2 linked regions of the Pelodiscus sinensis genome follow. The protein of the gene in region 1 interacts with the protein of each later gene in a biochemical or structural test. Links are inferred from orthologs where the notes say so. Each region holds a gene or a part of one and is shown on either strand. Other genes may lie near its edges.

What was found.
Region 2: the proteins of MAFG (region 1) and NFE2L1 form a complex in vitro, tested with the Homo sapiens proteins (2 studies listed by BioGRID and IntAct, with this or other methods). The link is inferred for Pelodiscus sinensis from reciprocal best matches to the Homo sapiens genes MAFG and NFE2L1.

What each region holds. Positions count from the first base shown.
Region 1 is NC_134730.1:29,832,401-29,843,172, reverse strand, and holds the start of MAFG (transcription factor MafG), read left to right. Parts: upstream 1-5,498; 5' UTR 5,499-5,665; intron 5,666-10,772. UniProt on the Homo sapiens protein: Since they lack a putative transactivation domain, the small Mafs behave as transcriptional repressors when they dimerize among themselves.
Region 2 is NC_134739.1:13,726,019-13,736,922, forward strand, and holds the start of NFE2L1 (endoplasmic reticulum membrane sensor NFE2L1), read left to right. Parts: upstream 1-5,631; 5' UTR 5,632-5,786; intron 5,787-8,396; 5' UTR 8,397-8,609; intron 8,610-8,657; exon of another isoform or gene 8,658-8,743; intron 8,744-8,919; 5' UTR 8,920-8,921; coding exon 8,922-9,431; intron 9,432-10,904.

The sequences.
Region 1 (10,772 bases):
GTCCCACGGGGCTGGGCCTGCCTCCCTGCACCAGCCCAGTGTCTCTTGCCACAGCATCCCATGATACATCTCTGTGAATGGGGGGGGGGGCGGTTTCCCCTCACAACAGTGCCCCGTTCCTGGCACTGGTGGGGATCACCTGTACTGAGCTGGGCTGCCCCTTGCCCATCATCCCTGCCAGTGGTGATCGAAGTAGGCAGTCGGGCTCTGCAATGCTGGATGATCCCCCTCTTCCCCAGGCTCTCACCAGCAGGGCAAGATGTGTGGTGTGACTGCCCTCCAGGGGCAGCTTGGTCCAGGAGGTGCCCAGGCCAGAGTGTGGCCCCAGGTAGCTGTGAAACCTATGTCAGGTTGGGGGCCACCGGACAGCATATGCCTAGCTCCTCCCACATTCCTGGCAAGGGAAACCCCTGTGCTTGGCTGCCTCCCACTTCCCTGCCTTCTGGGGGGGGGGGGGGGGGTAAGCAGCCAATCAGCATGTCTGTGAGGAACTGCCCCAGATTGAAGTGTCAGATCAAACACTAAGAAGTCCCCAAGCCCAGATGGTATTCACCCAGGAGTTCTGAAGGAACTTGGATAGGAAATTGTGGGAACACTGTGTGTGGTGTGTAACTTACTGCTTAAACCAGCCTTTGTACCAGATGACTGGAGGATCGCTAATGGGACACCCATTGTTTAAAAAGCCTGCTCCAATAGGCTTTGCAATCACAGGCTGGTAAACCTAATATCAGTACCAGTTGGATTGCTGAAATTTAAAGAAAAACAAAACCTCCAGAATTATCAGACACATAGATGAACATGCTATGATGAGGAAGAGTCAATACAACTTTTCTAAAAGGAAATCAGACCTCACCAATCTATTAGAACTCTAGGAGGGGTTCAACAAATATGTAGACAAGGCAGATCCAGTGGATGAAGTACAGGCAGTCCCCGGGTTACGTACAAGATAGGGACTGTAGGTTTGTTCTTAAGTTGAATCTGTATGTAAGTTGGAACTGGCGTCCAGATTCAGCCGCTGCTGAAACTGACCAGCGGCTGACTACAGGAAGCCCGAGGCAGAGTTGCTCTGCCCCGGGCTTCCTGGAATCAGCCGCTGATCAGTTTCAACAGACTGAATCTGGACGCCAGTTCCGACTTACATACAGATTCAACTTAAGAACCCCAGGAGTCCCCAAGTCAGCTGCTGCTGAAACTGATCAGCGGCTGATTCCAGGAAGCCCAGGGCAGAGCAACTCTGCCTCTGGCTTCCTGTAGTCAGCGCTGGTCAGTTTCAGCAGCGGCTGACTTGGGGACACCTGGGGCAGAGCAGCTGGGGTGCTGCCGGGTTGGTCCAGTAGCGCCCAGAGCAGCACTGCGGGACCAACCGGCAGTGTCCCAGCTGCTCTGCCCCAGGCGTCCTGATTCAGCCGCTGCTGGGGAATCAGGATGCCTGGGGCAGAGCAACTGGGGTGCTGCTGGGTTGGTCCAGTAGTGCCTAGAGCAGCACTGCGGGACCAACCAGCAGCGCCCCAGCTGCTCTACCACAGGCGTCTGGAGAAAAGCCTGGTCTGCTGGGGGTGGGGGGTGCACTAGCTGCGCCCACCCCCCAGCAGACCAGGAAGACGCGGGCAGCGGACCGAGATGCACCGTGGTCCCGCCGTCCGGGTCCTCCGTGGCTTTGCTCCGTGTCTCCCTGGTCTGCTGGAGACCAGCAGACCAGGGAGACGGGGAGTAAAGCCTTGGAGGACGCTGGCAGCGGGACAGCCACCAGCAGACCAGGGAGACGTGGAGCAGCTTTTCTCGCCCTGGAGGACGCGGGCGGCGGGACCGTGGCGCATCTGGGCATCCCGCCACTTCCATCCTCCAGGGCGAGAAAAACATAAGTCGGATCCGCGTAACTCGGGGACTGCATGTATACCTAGACTTTCAGAAAGCCTTTGACATGGTCCCACATCAAAGGCTCTTAAGGAAACTAAGCAGTCATGGGATAAGAGGGAACATGCTTATGGATCAGTAACTGGTTACAAGGTAGAGAACAATGGTCAGTTTTCAGAATGGAGAAACTAGTGGTGTCTCCCAGGATGGGGCCCAATCTTAGTCAACATATTCATAAATTATCTGCAAAAAAAGATAAATAGTGATCTGGCAAAATATGCAGTTAAGACAAAAACTTCTTGAGATAGTTCAGTTCAAAGCTGACTGGGAAGTCTTACAAAGGAGTTTCACTGTACTGGATGATTGGGCAACCAGATAGCAGAGGACATTAATTGTTGATAAGTACGAAGTAATGCACATTGGAAAATATAATCCCAAAGAGAATACGTACAATATGACAGTCTAAATTAACTGGAGCCATTCAAGAAAGAGATCTTGAAGTCATTGTGGATAGTTCTCGGAAAAAACATCTTCTCAGTGTACAACAGTGGTCAAAAGAAAGCCAACACAATATTAGGAAATATTACAAAAGGGAAATATAATAAGATACAAAATATCTTTTGTATACAAGAACAAGGAGCAATGGTCTCAAGTTACAGTGGGGGAGATCTAGGTTCTTCTTCACACAGCGTGTTGTCAACCTGTGGAACTCCTTGCCAGAGGAGGCTGTGAAGGCTAGGACTATAATAGAGTTTAAAGAGAAGCTGGATAAATTCATGGAGGTTAGGTCCATAAAAGGCTATTAGCCAGGGGATAAAATGATGTCCTTGGCCTCTGTTTGTCAGAGGCTGGAGAGGGATGGCAGGAGACAAATCGCTTGATCATTGTCTTCGGTCCACCCTCTCTGGGGCACCTGGTGTTGGCCACTGTCGGTAGACAGGATACTGGGCTAGATGGACCTTTGGTCTGACCCAGTACGGCCGGTCTTATGTTCTTATGTTGTATAGTAGGAAAAACTATTTCCCTGGGAGGAGAGTGAAGCACTGGAATGGGTTCCCTAGGGAGGGGGTAGAATCTCCATCCGTAACTGTTTTAAGTCCCGACTTGACAAAGTCCTGGCTGGGCTGATTTAGTTGGGTTGGTCCTGCTTTGGGCAGGGGGCTGGACTCGATGGCCTCCTGAGGTCTCTTCCAGCCCTAGGATTCTATAATCACATGGTCTCTAAATAAATCCATGGTGCACCATACAGATGTGCATTAGATACAATAGAACTGGCAAAGGTTCAGAAAAGGGCAACACAATTTATTCGGGCTTTGGAATAGCTTCCATATGAGAAGCAATTAATAAGACTGGGACTAATCGGGTGGGAAAAGAGATGACTGGAAGGGACATGATAATGTATAAAATCATGACAGGTGTGGAGAACATAACTAAAGTGCTTATTTGCTCCTTCACAAAACACAAGAAACAAGGATCACACAACAAAAAGTATTTAACGCAAGACAACTTGTGGAACTTGTTGCTGGGAATGTTGCAAATGGCAAAATAATAACAGTCTTTCAAAAGGAATTAGGTAAGTTCACAGATACATTAGAAACCAGGAGAATGTGGGCGAGGTCCATGGGTGGCTATTAACAACGGTAGCCAGGGATACAAGCCTATGTTTCAGGTGTCCCTAACCTCTGCTGCCAAAAGCTGGAAGTGCATGACAGGCAAGGATTACTCTGCTCACCCCCCTCACGCACCTGGCACTGGTCACTGTCCATAGCCCGGCTGCTGGCCCACGCTCGCCTGGTTTCTTCGCTGACCATTCTTATTACCTGTCCACCTTGAACATACACTCTTCAGCCTTAGTTCATCTTTGGGGTTTCTTCCATGTGCCTCTGTCTACATTCTGCTTGCCTGCCATTCTCCTTAGGACAGTATTTCCTGCCAGCTCTATCTTCTTCTCCTTCAGCTCTATCAGACCCAGGCGAAGACAAACACGCAGAACATGCACTTTTCCTTTCACTTTGCACATTGCACAATACACTTGCCACCTTTTTTGCTGCAGCACAGGGGGCTCTTCTACATTCTCTAGGTCTGGCTATCATGTCACTAAGTGTACAATGCAGATCTTTCCTTCTAGCTTGGTGTCTCTCCTGCAACTTCAGTCAAGATTTCTTCTTCCGACTTCTGCACGTGTGCAATGCAGTGTTCTTTGTCAACAAGTGCAGTCCTGTGGCACCTTAGAGCAGGGCCGGCTCGAGCCATTCCTGTGCCCTGGGCAGCAGGCGTACGATGCATGTGCAGCTCCATCCCCGGGCACATGGCACATGCACAGCCCTGCCCCCCGGCACGCTGCGCACCTTACAGCAGCAATTGGGCTCGCGGAGCCTGATGGCAGCTTTAAGGGGCACGGCCTCTGGCCCTGGGTGTGTGGTGCCCCCCATAGGTTAGTGCCCTGGGCAGCTGCCCAGCTAGCTCCCCCCCTTAATCCGGCCCTGCCTTAGAGACTAACAAATGTATCAGACCACAAGCTGGGTGGGACAAAACCCACTTCATCTGGTGAGTTGGAGTGGAAATAGCAGAATCCAGAATACAGTAATTACTTGTTTAACATGTGCCCGCTTAACTCGTTTTCGCAATAGCACGATTTTTTTGGGGACCTTTTTTCAAATAACATGACCGTCCCCGAAATAACACAAAAATAATCAAGTAGCAGACTACTTCACGCAGCAATATAAGTTGGTGAAAACAGTGGTAATATGCAGGGCTCGCCAGCCGTGTGGTTCTGCACTCTGCGCATGCGCAGATCACTCTGCACTGGCTCTTCCGGGTTGTAATCTACTCGCCATGGGTGAGTAGATTACATTATTTGTAGCCCTGGTAATATGCTTGAGCAGATGAATACACGTGATCACAGTGCTTCTCCGCTCACTCGTGTTTATCTTTGTGTTTTAACAAACCAGGCGACTTGTGGTGCTAGATACCTAGTGCTGACGTTGCCGACCCAGCACCAACAAAAAATTGACTTTGCCACCACCACCTGAAATGCAACCCCCACCTTTTCCATTCTTTTTAATGGGAAAATTGACTCCATAGCACATTTTTGCTCAGCATGAACATTTTCAGAAACAGTGTTTAGTGTTTAATGAGGAATTACTGTAAGCAGAACCCACCTGTCAAGCGCAGGACCCAAGCTAATGATGCTAATTGGATCATAGAATCATAGGCCTGGAAGGGACCTCGAGAGGCCACTAACCTGTTCTGAAATATCTCCAGAGAGGGAGATTCCACCAGCTCCCGGTGGGGGGGGGTGTGTGACTGAGTCCCCCGTCACGGTGTAACTGCAGCTAGCAAGGCCGGGCCCCCTGGGCTGTGTGTGCTGCCCCCCCCGCTGCAGCTCTGAGCTGGGGGGCAGCGCAGGCCCCGCCTCCCGGCTCCCACCTAAGCCGGGCCCCGCCCCCGGCCCGGACACGCAGCGACCCCGCCCAGCTGCCTCGAGCCGCGTGCCCCCTTATGCGCCACGTGGGGCGGCCCGGCTCAGCTGCTCCCGCGCACGCTGCCCGCAGCACGTGGCCAGGCGAGCCGAGCCCCGCCCCGCCCCCTTCCCTTTAAGGCCCCGCCTGCCCCTTGTCTTTTTTTTACCCCGACACTAATGGCCGCAGCCTCCTTCCCTTTAAGGCTCGGGGCGGTTGCGCCGGGCGCTTCATGAATGGAGCCACGTGACCCAAACATCACGTGACGTGTCCGTGAGCGGCGGCGGGTGGCGGCGGATCTCGGAGTCTCGGTCCCTCCCAGCCCCGGCCCCGGCCGCACCGTGAGGCGGGTGAGCGCGCGGCGGGGCCCGGGCCATGGGGGGGGCAGGGACCCCCCCCCGCCTTTCCGGGGGCCCCCGCTCTGCCCCGGGCCTTGGGGGGGGCAGGGACCCCCCCGCCTTTCCGGGGGCCCCCGCTCTGCCCCGGGCCTTGGGGGGGGCAGGGACCCCCCCGCCTTTCCGGGGGCCCCCGCTCTGCCCCGGGCCTTGGGGGGGCAGGGACCCCCCCGCCTTTCCGGGGGCCCCCGCTCTGCCCCGGGCCTTGGGGGGGGGCAGAGGCCCCCCCGCCTTTCCGGGGGCCCCCGCTCTGCCCCGGGCCTGGGGGGGGCAGGGACCCCCCCGCCTTTCCGGGGACCCCCGCTCTGCCCCGGGCCTGGGGGGGGCAGGGACCCCCCCGCCTTTCCGGGGGCCCCCGCTCTGCCCCGGGCCTGGGGGGGGCAGGGACCCCCCCGCCTTTCCGGGGACCCCCGCTCTGCCCCGGGCCTGGGGGGGGCAGGGACCCCCCGCCTTTCCGGGGGGCGGGGGAGAGCGCCGGGAGCCCCCTCGGGAACGTGGGGGGGGAAGGAGGAGACCGCGGTGGGGAAGAGAGCGGGGCGCCCCCTTCCGTGGAAAACTGGGGGGGGGGAGAGTAGGGAGCCCCCCTTCCGGGGGGGAGCAAGCGGCGAGCCCCCCCTTCCCGGCTCGCTGGGGCGGACGCGTGATGCCTGCTCGCTGCTGTTGCCCCGCGCGATGCGCAGGCAGGTCGGGGGCCGCTGCGGGTCGCGCCGGGCGGGGGGTTCCGAGCTGCCGGTGCCTGCCCCGCGCCCCCCGCCCCGCGCCCCTTGTGCTTGCTGAGCAGACGCTGCTGACTCATCAGCATGAGGTCACCGGGTAGACGGTGCCAAGGGGGCGCTCGGCGGGAGGGAGGGAGGGACTCGTGGACCAGGGGCCGGCGTGTTGGTCGGTCCGTGTCTGCAAATGGATGGGGAGGGCGTCCGAGGCTGACACGCTGACTCATCGCCGAGGGGGGCGGTGTCATGGAGACAGGTCTCCCCTCGTGTGCGGCGCTGCCGGGAGGGGCTGCGGGCAGCAGGGCGAATGGGGGAGTTACAGACCGTAGGTTTGGGGGGTGAGGGGCGTAGAGACGGGCGGCTGTGCTGGGGGGGCATAGTGCGGATTCTGAGCACACTTCCAGGTCAGAACCAGCCCTGGGGCTGGGCTCCTGCTGTGAGACCAGCAGGCTGCTCTGGGTACCTCTCCCATGCTTGTGTGTACTTGGAACACCCTGTGCTCCTCTCCTGCCTCACTAGTGTTCCAGGTGATTCAGCTGCTAGGGCAGTAGTCTTCCCCTAGTCACCCGCAGGGCCCCAGAGCTACATATGCTCCTCATACCCCTAAATACAACTCTTTCAAGGGCTGGTCTGAGGGGGCTAGCATGCCCTTAATGTAAGCATAACGGGGAAAGCTGTGCTACAGATCTACTCAAAGTGCCCAGAAATCAACTAACCCCACCATTGTGGGACACCAGGGAGCCTTGGGTAATAGCCAAAAACTCTGTGTGCAACAAGTGCACCATCTCTCCCTGAGCAAGATTTCTGCTAAGGCTGAATGCTGAGGCCACAAGGCAGAAGAACAAAACAAGTGGGGTCAGGCCTGACACCTCTGGTAGCTATGCCCAGGGTCAGGGGTGCCTTTGCTTTACTAAAGGCCCTTGACCAGCTCTGTCAAGGGTGCATCTGAGTTTTACAATAACAGCCAATAATTGCTACAGAGTAATTTGAAGGATGTTTTGTGATTCTCCAGGACGTCTTGCCAAAGGCTTTAAAAGCACATGGCAGATACTTGCCTACTTCTAGGTGTATGTGCAGTGCCTATAGGAATTCAGGAATGGCCAGACTGGCTCAGGCCAGTGGTCTGTCTAGTCCAGTCTTTGACAGCAACCAGAACCAGTTGCTTTAGAGGAAAGTGTGAGAAATCCTTCAATGACCAGCTGTGGAATAAGTAGCCCACTGTGGTGTGTTCTCCTGCGCCTGACTGTAAGTGTAGACAAGTCCTAACTCCATTTGCGTGATCTTTAAAAACACATTGCCATAGAAACAGAGTTGACACAATGTCAGCCATTGTGTTAAGTTTCCCAGCCCACACACAACTTTTCTAAAGCTCCTACCTATCAAACCGAACCGTATAGTAGTAGCAAGACATTTATTCATAATGTCAGTTAGTACAAAACGTTAATGAATTAAGCTCCCAGCTACCAGGCAAGCAACCTCGCACTGCAGAAGTGGAAACACCCCCAAAGCCACACAGTAAGTGCAGAGCCAAGAGGAGGATTTGGGTGTTTTGCTTCCCAGTCCTGTGTTCAGAATGCTAGGTCACGCTTTCCAGTATCGGGGTGAACCCTCATGTTTGTTGCTTTGAGTGCAGTAGCCCCTAAAATGCACCAGGCACTTCCAAGCCCTGCAGAAGGCCTGTTTCCTGACCTAAACATGCTCAGAGTTTGAGGGAGCGGGGGAAGGGGAGGGAGAGGGAGGGACAGGAAGGGTCCAGATAAGCATGGTCTGTTATTCTGGTGGATGGTTTTATTACATGTATGGCCTCTGCCCCAAGTTATCCTACGTGTTGGGAATTTACTAGAATGTTAGTCTTTGCAGCATGTGCTCTCCCTCTTATCTGGGTGGTCAGCAAAGGTGCAGGCTCCTGCTGGCTCTCCCAGCTCCCCTGGCTGGGGTAGGTGTGTGTGAAGAGCTGCCTGTAGGATTCCTTTGGCTGTGAAGATGTACGCTGCAGGAGGACTCTGCTAGAGCCAACGAACCTGCGGTGTCCCACAGTCTGCTAGCCAGTAATTCCACTGCAATGGTATGGGGCTCTGAGCTGAGAGGTGATGGCTGGGCTTGCGTGAGGTGTCAGTGAGACCTGACAGGACTTTCTTCAGTCACCTCAGAGGCTGGACTGCTTTCGCTTTGGCCTGCCTGTGACCATAACTGCTAGAGAAAAGGACAAGCCAAGAAGCTGCATCCCTCCTGTCTTTCTCCTGAACATTTGCTTGTCTCTGTGCCCCAGGGACCCGACTTGGGCTGCTGTCTCCTGTTTTCACTTGGGGTGAAAGCTTCTGTGCTGGGGCAGCTGCTGCACATTGTGCCACTGGGGGAGAGTGCGTGTTTGTTCTGCATTGCTGTTGACATTTCCTTGGGGGAAGGGCTTAGCGGCACTGAGGCGCACTGCATCCTACAGTGGGGTCTAAGAACTGGACTTTGGGGGCTTTCCTGAGCCCGGCCAGTGGCCAGGTTTGAGGGAGAAGTGTGAAGCAAATGCTACTTATGGAAAGACGCGCTGCTGGCTGATGCTTAGTCCCCTGCCCAGAGCTTCAAAAAGGAGCTAGATAGATTCATGGAGGTCAGGTCCGTCAATGGCTACTAGCCAGGCTGGGTAGGAATGGGGTCCCTGGCCTCTGTTTCTCTGGAGGTGAGTGACGGGAGGAATCACGAGATGACCTGTTGTGATCCCTCCCTCTGGTGCATCTGGCATCGGCCACCGTGGGCAGGCAGGACACTGGGCGGGATGGACTATTGGTCTGACCCAGTCTGGCCATTCTTATGTTCTTAGCAAGGTTTGGAGGGGTTGAGGGGGTTTAGCTGCTTGCGGTGGGAGCAGAAAGTGCTACTGGAACCTTCCCTGTCAGGTTTCAGGGCAGACTGAGGGTCCTGCTTAGCGCGGAATTGCTCTCCCTCCTTGTGGCCTGGCATTTCCTCTCCTGGGAGACGGGCTTCTCAGGCGGCCGCTTATTCCATAAAGGTTTGCTGCTCGAAGCTGGGAAGGCCTCTGCTGTGCACTGTCTTGGGCCCCTTCCTCTTCCCCTTCGCAGCAGAGCTGTGCGTTCAGGAAGGGGCGAACGCGCTGGGCAAAGGAGTATCGGAGACTCGGCTCCGCTGTGTTCGCTACACTGCAGAGATGCTCTGGGCACTAGTTCGACGTGGGCTCATCTGCTGCAGCATGAGTGGGGGGTGATGTGAAGAAATGAGAAGTACAGTCTCCACTTCTGCTTGTCCAGTCAGAGCGAATATCCCAGCAGGGCCCTGCCTGCCTGTGGTCACACCCCTGGACAACTGTGGCTGCCAGTCCCCTGCAGAAGCCCTCACTGCGTCGCTCCGTCGACGTCCCTTGTGGATGGGCCTCCCCTGGCGGAGCTGTCTCCAGCTGGCTGCGCTGCTGGAAGGGGTGACGTCAGCGTGTTTACACTAGTTTGGTGGCACAGTTCTGTGAATCGGGAATGCTGAGAATGGGGCCTGTGTTGAATCATGCGTTCTGCTGTCAGCTCTGCTGTGCCGCTTTTAGCTGAGGAGAGAATTGGCTGTGCTAGTGCTGAGTTCAGGCCTTTGGAGTCCTGGGGAAATGTGTTGAGGCTGCATTTTCCCCTTGGAGCCGACGCGCTTGGCGCTCTTCCGGGTGATTGTTCTTCAGGAAGCCATTGAAAGGCCAAGACATTGGCAGTCTGGGACCTTGGACAAGCTTGTTCTGAGTGTCCTGTCAGTCTCCCCGCAGGCCTGCCTGGGGCCTTCCTGTCAGCCCTGGCAAGTGGCCAGCCAGCCTTCCCCCAGTCTCCGTGCCTGAGGATGGGCACCATGGCCCCTCTTGGGGGGGGGCGGACTCATCAGATGCTTTCAGCTGGACTCCTGTGCCCCGGCAGAGGCGCTGGGCTGCGCTGGAGGCCTGGCAGATCGGGTCCCTTCTGTTTGAACCGTTTAACTCAGACACAAGGAAGAGTTAACTGTTCTCAGCGGCTCCTTGGCACCTTTCCAAGCTGTTGCTCTTTCTCCCGCCCTCCCACCCGCAGTGCTTGGGAGCACCCAGCCACTGCCTCCCCCTCCCCTGGGTCCTTTCAGCTCCCACCTGCCCCTAACTCGTCTCAGGGTGACTCTCCGGCCTGGGACCAGTTGTCCAGGGATGTGAGATTTCGGGAGCTCAAGGGCCAGGAAGGATTATAGCACCTGTTCCTGGGCCCAGTGCGTTCAAACAGCCTGTCCGCCCGCGGGGATCCTCTGGGGTAGCAGGAAAGGGGCATGTGGAAACACTGCCCGGGACAGACTTACCGGAGAGCTGAGGGGCCTTGCTGGGCAGCGTAGACCCTGCGAGTGCGTGAACC
Region 2 (10,904 bases), on another chromosome or scaffold:
CCCGATGATCCAGGGGTGAGCAGTAATTTTTGATGGGGGGGGGGGGCTCCAAGGGTTTGGTAAGCGGTGGAGGGCCGCACCGCACGCTTCCTTGGTATTGAGCAGGTGCGAGTCTGGGATGGAGGCCGGGTGCAGACGGGCGCTTGGGGTGAAATCCTCACCGCTAAGAGGCTTGTAACATTGGGAGGCCGCGGTCGTCTCTCTGGAGACAAAAATCATTATCGGGGCTTCATTGTTAAACCCTTTGCCAGTTAGCAGCCTCCACCAGAGGGGACGCCGCGCCTCTGGGCTGCACCAGCCCCGCTGGGGTCAGAGAGTGAAGTTTGCTACAATATGAACCCCCTGACGGCTGCTCTAATTTATAATGGCTGGCTGTGGATACCAGAGGGGTTATTTACCAACCAGAGACAGCTGGAGCACGGTGTTTCCTGGCCAAGTTCCCCCTCCCGGGTTCCTTTGTGGCACCCCCCCCCCCCCCCCCGAGAGCACAAAGAAGACAGGGCAAGGGACAAAATCTGGCCCAGTATTTCCCGTGCTCCTAGTGGGCAAAATAATTATAACGTTCACTTCTCTGCACCCATTTGTAAGGCCAGGCAGCGTGAGGATGGGGAGGGCGGGTTTGCTGGTATTTAACAAAAAAATCTTTTGGAGTTGAGCCACAAACAAAAGAGTTTGAAATGTTGGGTGAATTGAAAAGTTGGGGGGGGGGTTGGGCCAAATGAAACATTTCATTACATCACAAAAACATTTCGTCTGGATTTCTACATGTTAAAGGTTTTTAAAATAAAAGGGAAGCAAATGTGTCAATGAAACATCCTATTGAACTGAGAAATTGACACCGTGTAGAGGTTTCTGCATGTTTGTGGTGGGGTTCCCTGGTGAAATTGACAGGACAGAGCGGCGGTCTCTACAGCTATGCGCACGCTTTGCACTGGTGTAAATGCCTGCCCACGGGGCAGAGTGATGGTGAATCAGGGCCTAGATCAGACCACCTGGACCCTCATTAGGTGCTGCAACACCCCAGGGCTCCTGGCCTAGCACCTCGGGGCCCAGCTGCTGGGACTCTGCTGGGGACCCAGCTGCTGCCCTGCTCTCTGCTGCTGGCTCCGTACTCAGGATCCCAGCTGCTGCCCCGTGCGCCTGGGGTCCTAGCTGCTGGCCCCCCACACCAGGGCTTTGCTCCCAGCCTCAGCTGGGTGGGGGGAAGCCAGAGGAAAGGGGAGGATGTCAGCACCCCTCACTCCTAAAACTGTTCCCCCCCGCCGCCTTACTGGCTGTGCTTGGTATTTCAGGCTGTTATTACCCCATCGGGCTGCAGAGGGGGGGAAGGCCACACCCGGGCTTGGGGAACCTTGTTCCCCATCAGATGCTGAGAGGAGGGGGCTGCACCTGCACAGTGGCTCTGGCCTTTGCAGAACAAACTCCGACCTGACTTGACCTCGACATGCAGCTGGGAACTTTCCGGGGGGAGGGGCAGCTCAGAGCTTTCTAGGTGCTTCCTCTGGGTTTCCTTTCTTGGCACCTCCATAGCCACAAGGATCCTGACTTGTCCGCTCTCAAGAGCAGCTGCCTGTCTAGCCAGGGAGTACCCAGGCACTGATCCCTTTGGGATGCAAGCCCTGGGACAGATGAGGCTGCTAATCATCAGAGGGTATAGCTCAGTGGTAGAGCATTTAACTACAGCTCAAGCGGTTCCCCAGTTCAAATCCAGGTGCCCCCTTCAAAAGTTTTAGGGCAGGGGACTGGACTCAATGGCCTCTCGAGGTCCCTTCCAGTCCTAGTATTCTCTGCCGTCTGTGCTGCTCGTAGGGACGGTAACATTAGATGAATCAACTAACGGAACAGTGGATGGGATTTCTATCGACTAGTTGCTGAGGGCGCTTCCGCTTTGAAATGTAGCAAGCGCCCGCCTGGCTGTTGTGCCACTGACGTGTACGAGGGCCCAGCAGAGGTTCATGTGGATTTCAAAGACTGAAGCACCGCAGGGAGCCCAGAGTCAGCCGGGGACTCCCCGCTGGTCCCCGGTTCCAGGCTGCATTTCTATCTTTGAAATGCACAAGAGCTTCTGCTGGGACTCTCTCGTACATTTCAAAGGCAGAACGACACCGCGCCCCTGCCCCCTCCCACTGAGCTGGAGCAGGGGGGGAACCAGCTTTTAGGCCAGCTCCCCTCACTACCCCCTTCTTCCCCCCCTCCCCCACTGCCTTTTTCTCATAGAGGCAGCGGTCGGGGGGGTGGGGGAAGCGACTAGTTGACTAGTGTGTTGACTCTTGGCTAAGGTTTTGCTTATTGGACAGTCGACTAGTTGATTAGTCGCTTACACTCCTAGTTGCTAGCGAGGCTCCGCAACATAACACAATCTCATTAGGCTTCAGAGTCATACAGCACCACCTCCTATGCTCAAACATCCCATTGTCTGCCAGGCTGGGAATGCCCCAGAGCATGGGCTGAGGTTTGATTAAGGCAGCTGTTCCTGCTCTGTGCCGTCTTGTATAAATAGCAGCTAGCGGGGTGGTGCTGCTAAATGCCTTAGCTTCCTGATGGATCCACCCTCTGTGAGCCACCCAGCTTCAGACAATGGCTGGGAAAGTTCCCTTTTAAAGGGCACGTGGAACCGGGCACTGAAGCGCTCGGAGGCTTTTCGCAAAGAGGCGCTCCAGTCTATTGGAATGGATTCGGGAAGTCTAGCAGGCTGCTCCAACGTGTCTCCCATGGCTCAGACTGGTTCTCGAACACTTTGTGAATCTCTTTCATCCTTCCCCTCCTTGGCAGAGGGCCGTTTTCCACAGCCGGGGTAAGACAACTCCCGAGGGAGTCAAGCCAAATCCTCACAGAAATGTAAGGTTGGAAGGGACCTCAAGAGGTCGTCTCGTCTAGCTCCCACGCGGAGGCGAGACCAAGTACGCTAGTCAATCCCCGATGACAACGTTCCTTCTACGTTTTTTCCATCCAGTGTGCGGAATACATTTTGCCATGTGCACGAAGGCAAGTGTGGATGTGCACCACCAATACACACACACGCTGTCGGCTGTGGGTGCTCTGCCAAGTAGCTGAGTGGGATTTGAATCCCTCCTGGGCAGCAGTCCAAGTACTCGGCTTACAGGGAATGCTGCCGGACCGGTGCTTGTCCGGCCTGTTGGTAAAAACCTCCACGGATTCCACAGTCCCCTCGGGAGCCGGATCATCCTACTTTGCACATGGCTCAGGGCAGCAGGGTGAAGCCCCTTTGCCCTGCCAAGATGAAATCCAGCCCAGGTGGGCAGTGCCCCGCGGAGGCCGAGGCGAAGCCGGTTAGTGGGCGGAGCCCCGCTCGTAGCTGTGCGCTTCAGAAAACGCCGTTTCCAAAAGGGACATCTCTGCTGGCGGCCTGGCCACAGAAGCTGGGCTCTGAGTCCCCTTTTGCCCCTGCCCCAGCGGGATGCTTGCCTGCCAATGTGCATCTCGTGCCCTGGTCCGTGGCTCAAAGATCACTGGTGCTAAAGCAACATGGAGATTGACTGGGAACAGGCCTATCCATGGGACGGACCCTGGGGGCACAGCCCCACGGCCAGGATGGCAAGTAGGATTGAGCCAGGCAAGGAGCCCAGCTCTCATAACGGGGATCAATTGGGAAAGATACAAAGAACCGGCTGAGATGGGTGATTTGAGACACTCCTGCTCCGGGCTGCTTGTTTATTGAAATAACTCACAGAGAATCCATCAGCAGAAAGCAGAGACGTGAACTCCTGTGTAATTCGTTAACCGGTTAGAGGTGATGTTTAGCCAAGTAACCGGGGGCCGGGCGGGGGTCCCCTCTAGCCTGGCTAGGCTACAGCAGCTCCCCCGCCCACTGCGGCCAGGCTGGAGTGGCGACCCCCCCCCCCCCACCATAAGCAGGGGCAGCTTCAGCCTGGCCAGAGCAGCCCCCTGCCTTCAATGGATCCTGCCTGCAGCAAGTGCCGAGCTGCTCTAGCCCCACTGGTTAACCTGAATTGTAGCTGTCACCCATTAAGGGCAGTGCTTACGGGTTAACCAGTTAACCTTTCACATCCCTGGCGAGAGGCACTTGGGTACTGACGGAACAATCCAATGGTCAATAATCACATTGGACCCACTGATACGCAGCACCCCAGACTCCCTGGCAGCCATGGGGGCAAATGGAAAGAGGGGACATTAAAGGTCCTGTACTAGGGACCCAATGGAGAGAGCAACAGGATGGTGCTCACTCGCTGGCCCGCTCCGCTGCACGACCTCCCGCCAGTCGCTTCCCCTTTCTCCACAAGCAGAAGAGAGAGCAGAGCAGTGCTGCCGGTGAGGTGCTCGGAGATCCACGCACAAGCAGCCCGGGGTGCTAGGATGAAGACTCATCTGAGGCACCTGCAGGACTTAAGGGTGAGATCTGAAAACTGCCGCTGGGAGTTTCAGTCCTACCTCCTAAAGCAGAAGGTTCCATGGAAAAGGCCCTCGAGCTAAGGGCGCCTTGTCGAAAACGCAAGACAGTTAGCAAAGGCACAGGACAAAAAACGGTCAGGCGAGTAACCTTGGCACTCGATTAAGGACCTTAGAAATGAGCGATTAGCCCCTGTGATGACGAATGATGGGCCAGGGGTGAAAGCACAACGCTGGCGGACCCGATTCCTCAGTTCTATTTCCAGCTCTGCCATTGGCTCTCACTGTAGTTGGCCGTATTAAGGCCTCTGGGGAGGGGCAGTTTCGAGGCCTCTGGGGTGGTAGTTGGCGGTATTTACGGCCCCGAGATGAAAGCTGGCAGTTTTGAGGCACCCAGGGTAGTAGTTGGCGGTTTCGAGGTCCCCAAGATGGCAGTTGGCGGTTTCCAGGCTCCTAGGGTAGTAACTGGCAGTTTCCAGGCCCCCAGGGTAGTAACTGGGGGTTTCCAGGCTCCTAGGGTAGTAACTGGCAGTTTCCAGGCCCCTAGGGTAGTAACTGGGGGTTTCCAGGCTCCTAGGGTAGTAACTGGCAGTTTCCAGGCCCCCAGGGTAGTAATTGGCGGTTTCGAGGGCCCTGGGGTGGTAATTGGCGGTTTCCAGGCCCCTAGGGTAGTAACTGGGGGTTTCGAGGGCCCTGGGGTGGTAATTGGCGGTTTCCAGGCCCCCAGGGTAGTAATTGGCGGTTTCGAGGGCCCCGGGTGGTAGTTGGTGGTTTCAAGGCCCCCCAGTGGCCTGGCCGAATGGTGTCACAAGAGGGCTCCAACAGGGGGCCAGGCACTGGTGCCTGATGGCCGGGTCGAGCCTACACTCTCTCCAGGCCGGGCTTCTAGGGCGTAGGCCGGAGGGAGCCGGGAATCGCCATGGCAACAGCATGGGAAAGGCGTCGTAGTGGATCCGCAGAAGGTGATTGGTCACTGATGCCGTCATTCAAGCTGCCGGGGGGCGGGCGTACGTGTGCGTCTGCGGAGCGGCGAGATCCGCTATCGCGATTGGCCGGCCTTGCCGTCACTCACTCTGACGCGAGCTCGCTGTTGTTCTCTGTCTAATTGGCGCCGCGCTCCGTCACTGAAGCGGCTTTGGGAGCGGGCGGGGTGGGCTGGGCTTGCTGCTTTCCGATTGGGTAGCTCAGTTGCCACTCTCCAGCCCCTGAGGGCGGGCGGAACGCCTCGCCCGGTGATTTGGCGACCGACCTGTCAGTTCCACTGTCCTCGGCGGCGGATTGGCGGGATGCCGCACGGGGGCGGGCTCAGGCCCGCGGTGCAGGGAAGAGGCTGTTGGAGCTGAGCGTGTGGGGCCGGCCGGCCGGCGGTGGCTGCCTGCGGGGCCGGAAGCCTCGTGGCTGAGGAGCGCGCGGAGCGGGTACCGGAGAGAGACCGGGCGCTGAGAGGGGGGAGAGGGAGAGACAGGGGAGCGGGGAGGGGCAGAGTGGGGGGGCTAGGCGGGGGGAGGGGTAGAGTGGGGGGAGGGGGGCAGAGTGGGGGGGGCTAGGCGGGGGGAGGGGCAGAGTGGGGGGAGGGGAGCAGAGTGGGGGGCTAGGCGGGGGGAGGGGAGCAGAGTGGGGGGCTAGGCGGGGGGTGGGGAGCAGAGTGGGGGGCTAGGCGGGGGGAGGGGCAGAGTGGGGGGAGGGGAGCAGAGTGGGGGGCTAGGCGGGGGCAGGGGGCTAGGCGGGGGGAGGGGAGCAGAGTGGGGGGCTAGGCGGGGGGAGGGGGGCTGGGAGGGGGGCAGAGTGGGGGGCTAGGCGGGGGGAGGGGGGCAGAGTGGGGGGCTAGGCGGGGGGAGGGGAGCAGAGTGGGGGAGGCAGGGATAAGTGCAGGGTGAGGTTGAAGAGGAAGTGAGGGGTGGGGGGAGGAGGGAGCCGGGTGTAGTGGGTAGCTGGGGGTAAGGGAGAGTTGGGGTGAAGACAGGTGGGAGGTATGTATTTGAGTGTGTGTGCATATGGGAAAATTGGAGCTTAAGGGGAGACTAGCATTTGGGGGGCTATAGGAAGATTCTCCTCTACCCACCCCTCTGCTGGTTCACATCTCCTGTGAAATGTGGGTAAAAGGTTTAGGGAGGAGGATTGAAAGCCCAAGAATAGTGTTGGGGGGGAAGTTCCCTTCCACCCCATAGATTCCAAATGGGAAGTGCGAGGGAGGGTGTTTACCCTAATGGGTTTGAGGGACGGGGTTGTCTTGGGGTTCAGACAACGGGTGGGAGGTGAATTAGAGAGTGTAGGAGATTAAGGGGCATGCAGGACATGATGTACAGTAGAATAGAATTTAAGCAGTGATATTTTTGGGGTGGATGGGACGAAAGGGACTTAACAGACTGTACAGTGGATGGGTTTTTAGCAACTGGCACCCCATTGTGCTATTTAAATAATAGCGGGCAGCCCCCTATCTTCTCATGCATTTTGCAGTAGTGTTCAGCACTGGGGGAATTCCTGTTGTTCCCATGAGGATTGGGGTGCTCTTTGGGAAGATGTAGAGAGGATCAAATTGTTTGAGGAAATGAAAAGCACAGTGATCTAGATGCTGGAATTAAAGGTTTGGGAGGAATCTAAAACTTGGTGGGCAGGGACTCCTTGTTCCTTTCAATTTCTGAGTGACTACATCATAAAAAGTTTCCCAGTACAAAAGGAAATAGTTTGGCTGCTGGATTAATTGAGATCTGACAAGTGAGAGAGTTGATAAATTAGAAAATTGGTCTGTAATTATATGTAGGCTCGTTAGAAGTAGATTTTTATCCATGAACATCAGTACATATTGAGTTTTCTGTATACACACAAACTGATGAGAAAATATTTCCATCAATGATAATCAACAGACAGTTTGTGAAAATGTATTACTTTGATTTAAGGATATTGACTTTGCATATTTTGGCATGTGATGTTGATAATTTGGGTTTTAATGTTTATTAAGCATTAACTTTGTTTTGAATCTCAACTTCCACTGTCATTAAATAATTATCTGGCCTGCATAATTTTCCATAACTGTAAAAATTTAAATGATTAAAAATTGAAAAAAATGCTAAAAATACAATTGATGTTGAAATTGTAAAAGAAGAATTCTGCCCAACCTAAGTATTGGTTGACTCTTAACAAATGAGGTAGGCGGGAAGGAATTGAAATTGTGCTTGTTTTGCTTTGAGGGGTTACTTAGTTGCGGATAACAACAGAAGGGACAGCTGAGATTTGGGGATTAGGGGTTACTTTAAACACTCCTCCCACTCTTGCCAATATTGGGAGTTTGAGAACAGAAATCCATCCACAAACAGTGCTCAGAAGCTGTTGAGTCCACACCTGGCAACCTTTGAAACCTATAAAAAAACAGGGACACTGGGTGGAGGTGAAAAATAGGGATGTACCCTGTGACATCCTCAAAATACATTGAAGTGGGACAGGTGTTTGAAAGAACAGATGGTGGAGGAGGGGTGTAAATTTCACTGCAAAATTGCACTCTCCTCAATTGGGACGCTTGGTGTGTGGTGAATTGCCCAGGAAGGTCACATTGTGGAATAAATGCATCATAAGCATGTTTTGTTTTGTTTCTTTAAAGCTCCTTTGTGAGTGGTGGCAGGCAGAGGAGAAAGGACTGCATAGGCAGGTAGCGAGCCCTGGGGTTGCTTACATTTGCTTGTGCAGTGGTCACGGCCGCTTATTTGCTGCATAAAGCCCTGATTGGAAGCTCACTGAAAACTGGAGTGAAAGGGAGTCAGAGCTGAATTCCTGCTTCAGAGAGTGGAAGCTGACGCACCAGCCTAAGAATAGAGCAGAGAGGGGAACTCGTACAACATTAACTCAAAAGATAGCCCCTGTTTTGTGGATATTTCATCAGCAAGCCATTCTTTGGAGGGCAGTCGATTTTATTTTGTACATGGCTTATATACAGCGGTGAAACTGATGCTTCCCAGTATAGCAACTGCATGTGTAATGTGTAGGGTGATGTCTCGTCAGCGTCTTATCGTGTTTGTTCTGTGGTTCTATTTCAGCTTCTGATGAAACCACAGCCAGGACTGGAGGAGTCGCTGAACCCTTCCTTGCTCCAAATCTTTGACTCTTCAAGCTTCCTTCAGGAAGCTTCTCAAACCCAGAGGAGAGGGAGAAGCAGCAGCTACTTGTGCTAGAGAACACACCCTGCTCTGGAAGCAGAGTGGTGAATCAGGAAGGCGAGAGGAAGTGACTGCATGTGGACTTTTGAGACAGTAAGTCACATGGGTTTATATGTAACCTCGTGGACTGTTATCAAACAGCAATAGCTCTGAAGAGGAGGGGAGCGTGCTGGAGAGGGACTTTGTTTACTGGGGTATAAGTTCTTTCCTCTGGAGAGTGTAGATAGGTAATTTGGCTCTCCCGAGTAACCTGATTTTGGAACAATTGGGGGATTAAAAAAGAGAACCTAAAACTGAAGCTTTGAATTTTTCTAAAACTTTCCCTCTTGGTGAATGAGGATACTTTGAGCTCTCGGTTTTTGCTGTGTTTCCCCACCCATGTTTGTTTTTTTTCCTCTTCCAGAAATGCTTTCTCTGAAGAAATATTTCACTGAAGGGCTCATTCAATTCACCATTCTACTCAGCTTGATAGGTGTTCGTGTGGACGTGGATACCTACCTGAACTCGCAGCTTCCCCCTCTGAGGGAAATCATTCTGGGCCAGAGCTCTGCTTACACCCAGACGCAGTTCCACAACCTGCGGAACACCTTGGACGGATATGGCATCCATCCAAAAAGTGTAGACCTGGACTATTACTTCACAGCCCGCAGGCTCCTCAACCAGGTGAGGGCCCTGGACAGGTTCCAGGTGCCCACCACCGAAGTAAATGCCTGGTTGGTGCATAGAGACCCGGAGGGTTCTGTGTCCAATGCCCAGCCCAGCCCAGCCATCACCCTTGAGAATGGCAGTGGCCTGCAAGATGGGACCAATCCTGACAATGGCATGAGGGAGAGCGGAGCTGAGCAAGGATTTGGTGAAGAATTGGAAGACCTAGGAGCAGTGGCTCCTCCAGTGAATGGAGACTTGACCAAAGAGGTAGGCAGCACCTTTTAGGAAAGATGTGTTCCAAAGAAAGGGAACGGTTGGAGTGTGACGTTGTGTGTGCGTACCTTCTGCAATGCCCACTGAAAGCGGGTGTGCTCTGCACTTCTGAATAGCCGATTCCCTAGGAATCGATGAGCTGCATGGCACTGGACTGAATAGTGAGGTTGGATGTTCTGGAGGGGGGCGGGGCTGTGTCTTGGTCTGCAGTCGGGTGGCTAGTCAGTAATTCAGTTTGAGTGGAGATTTGCATTTATGGGAATGAGACAATAGCACCTTCTGTCGATTTCCCAGTATTGGGTAACAGCCCCTGAGTCATGTGGGTGGTAGATTACTTGGCTCTGGAGTTTGTCCAAATAATGTTTACAGCTTGGTTGTCAACATAGAGTGGGGAGGAGAGTGAATTGGAAAATGGCTTTTTTTTCCCATCCAAATGTATTCTCTTAGTTGCTATGACACAGCCATGTGTTTGACTCCTCAGCAGCTGCTACGCTGTTTCCATTAGCGTTCTTTGTCAAGGCACATTCTGGCTTTGCTTCCCCGTGGCTGTATTGTATTGCTTCTAGTGATGAATTCCGGTGGAAAATGTTGGCATGGATGTTACAGCCTCTCTCCTAAACTGCTGCCGCTTGGACAACCTATTATAGATGGTGGAGAGTAGGCATAGGGAGGTTCAAACCGTCCTGATCCTTAATCCTGTGGTGAAGCTTAGGGGCAGCTCTTTGCAATCAGAAGCAGGGGAATTCTGTGGACAGCTGTTGAGGCTGTCCTGAGCTTCTGTCATGGGACTTCAGCACAGCTCCAGGCAGGGAATAGCATAAATGTCTCTGATGTGAAAGTGTTCACCCAGGAGAGGAAAGTGGTACATCCTGCTTCAGATCTGGTACTATGCAGTGTGTCCCTGGAAACCTGCATGGAGCAACTTACCTGAGTGTGAGCCCCTTCCCCTGCCCACTAGAAAGGGCTCCTGCTGTGGGTAAGACCAAAGGCTAAGAGACCTAAGTCCGGCAGTATTACCTAGTGTTTAGAGCAGGGCACTGAGGCCTGGTCTACACTACACTCCCATCAATCTAAGCCAGGGGTCCCCAACGTGGTGCCCGCGGGCGCCATGGCGCCCGCCGGGGGATTTCTGTGCGCCCGCTGAAACATCTGGGCTGGCCCCACCCCCGGTGCGCGGCACATGCATGGTGCCGGCTCCAGGCGCGGGACGCATGGGCGGCCCCTCCCCATGGCGCGCGGCACATGCGCAGGGCCGGCCTGGGGCGCGTGGGCGGCCCCAAGGGCACATGTGCTGTGCCGGCCTTGGGCGCGTGGCTCGTGGGCAGCCCCGGGCGCGCGGCACATGCGCAGTGCTGACCCTGGGCGCATGGCTCGTGGGTGGCCCCGCCCCCGGGTGCGCGGCGCATGCGTGGCCCCACCCCCGTGTACCCGGCACGTGAGTGGCTCTGTCCCTGGGTGCCCGGCAGC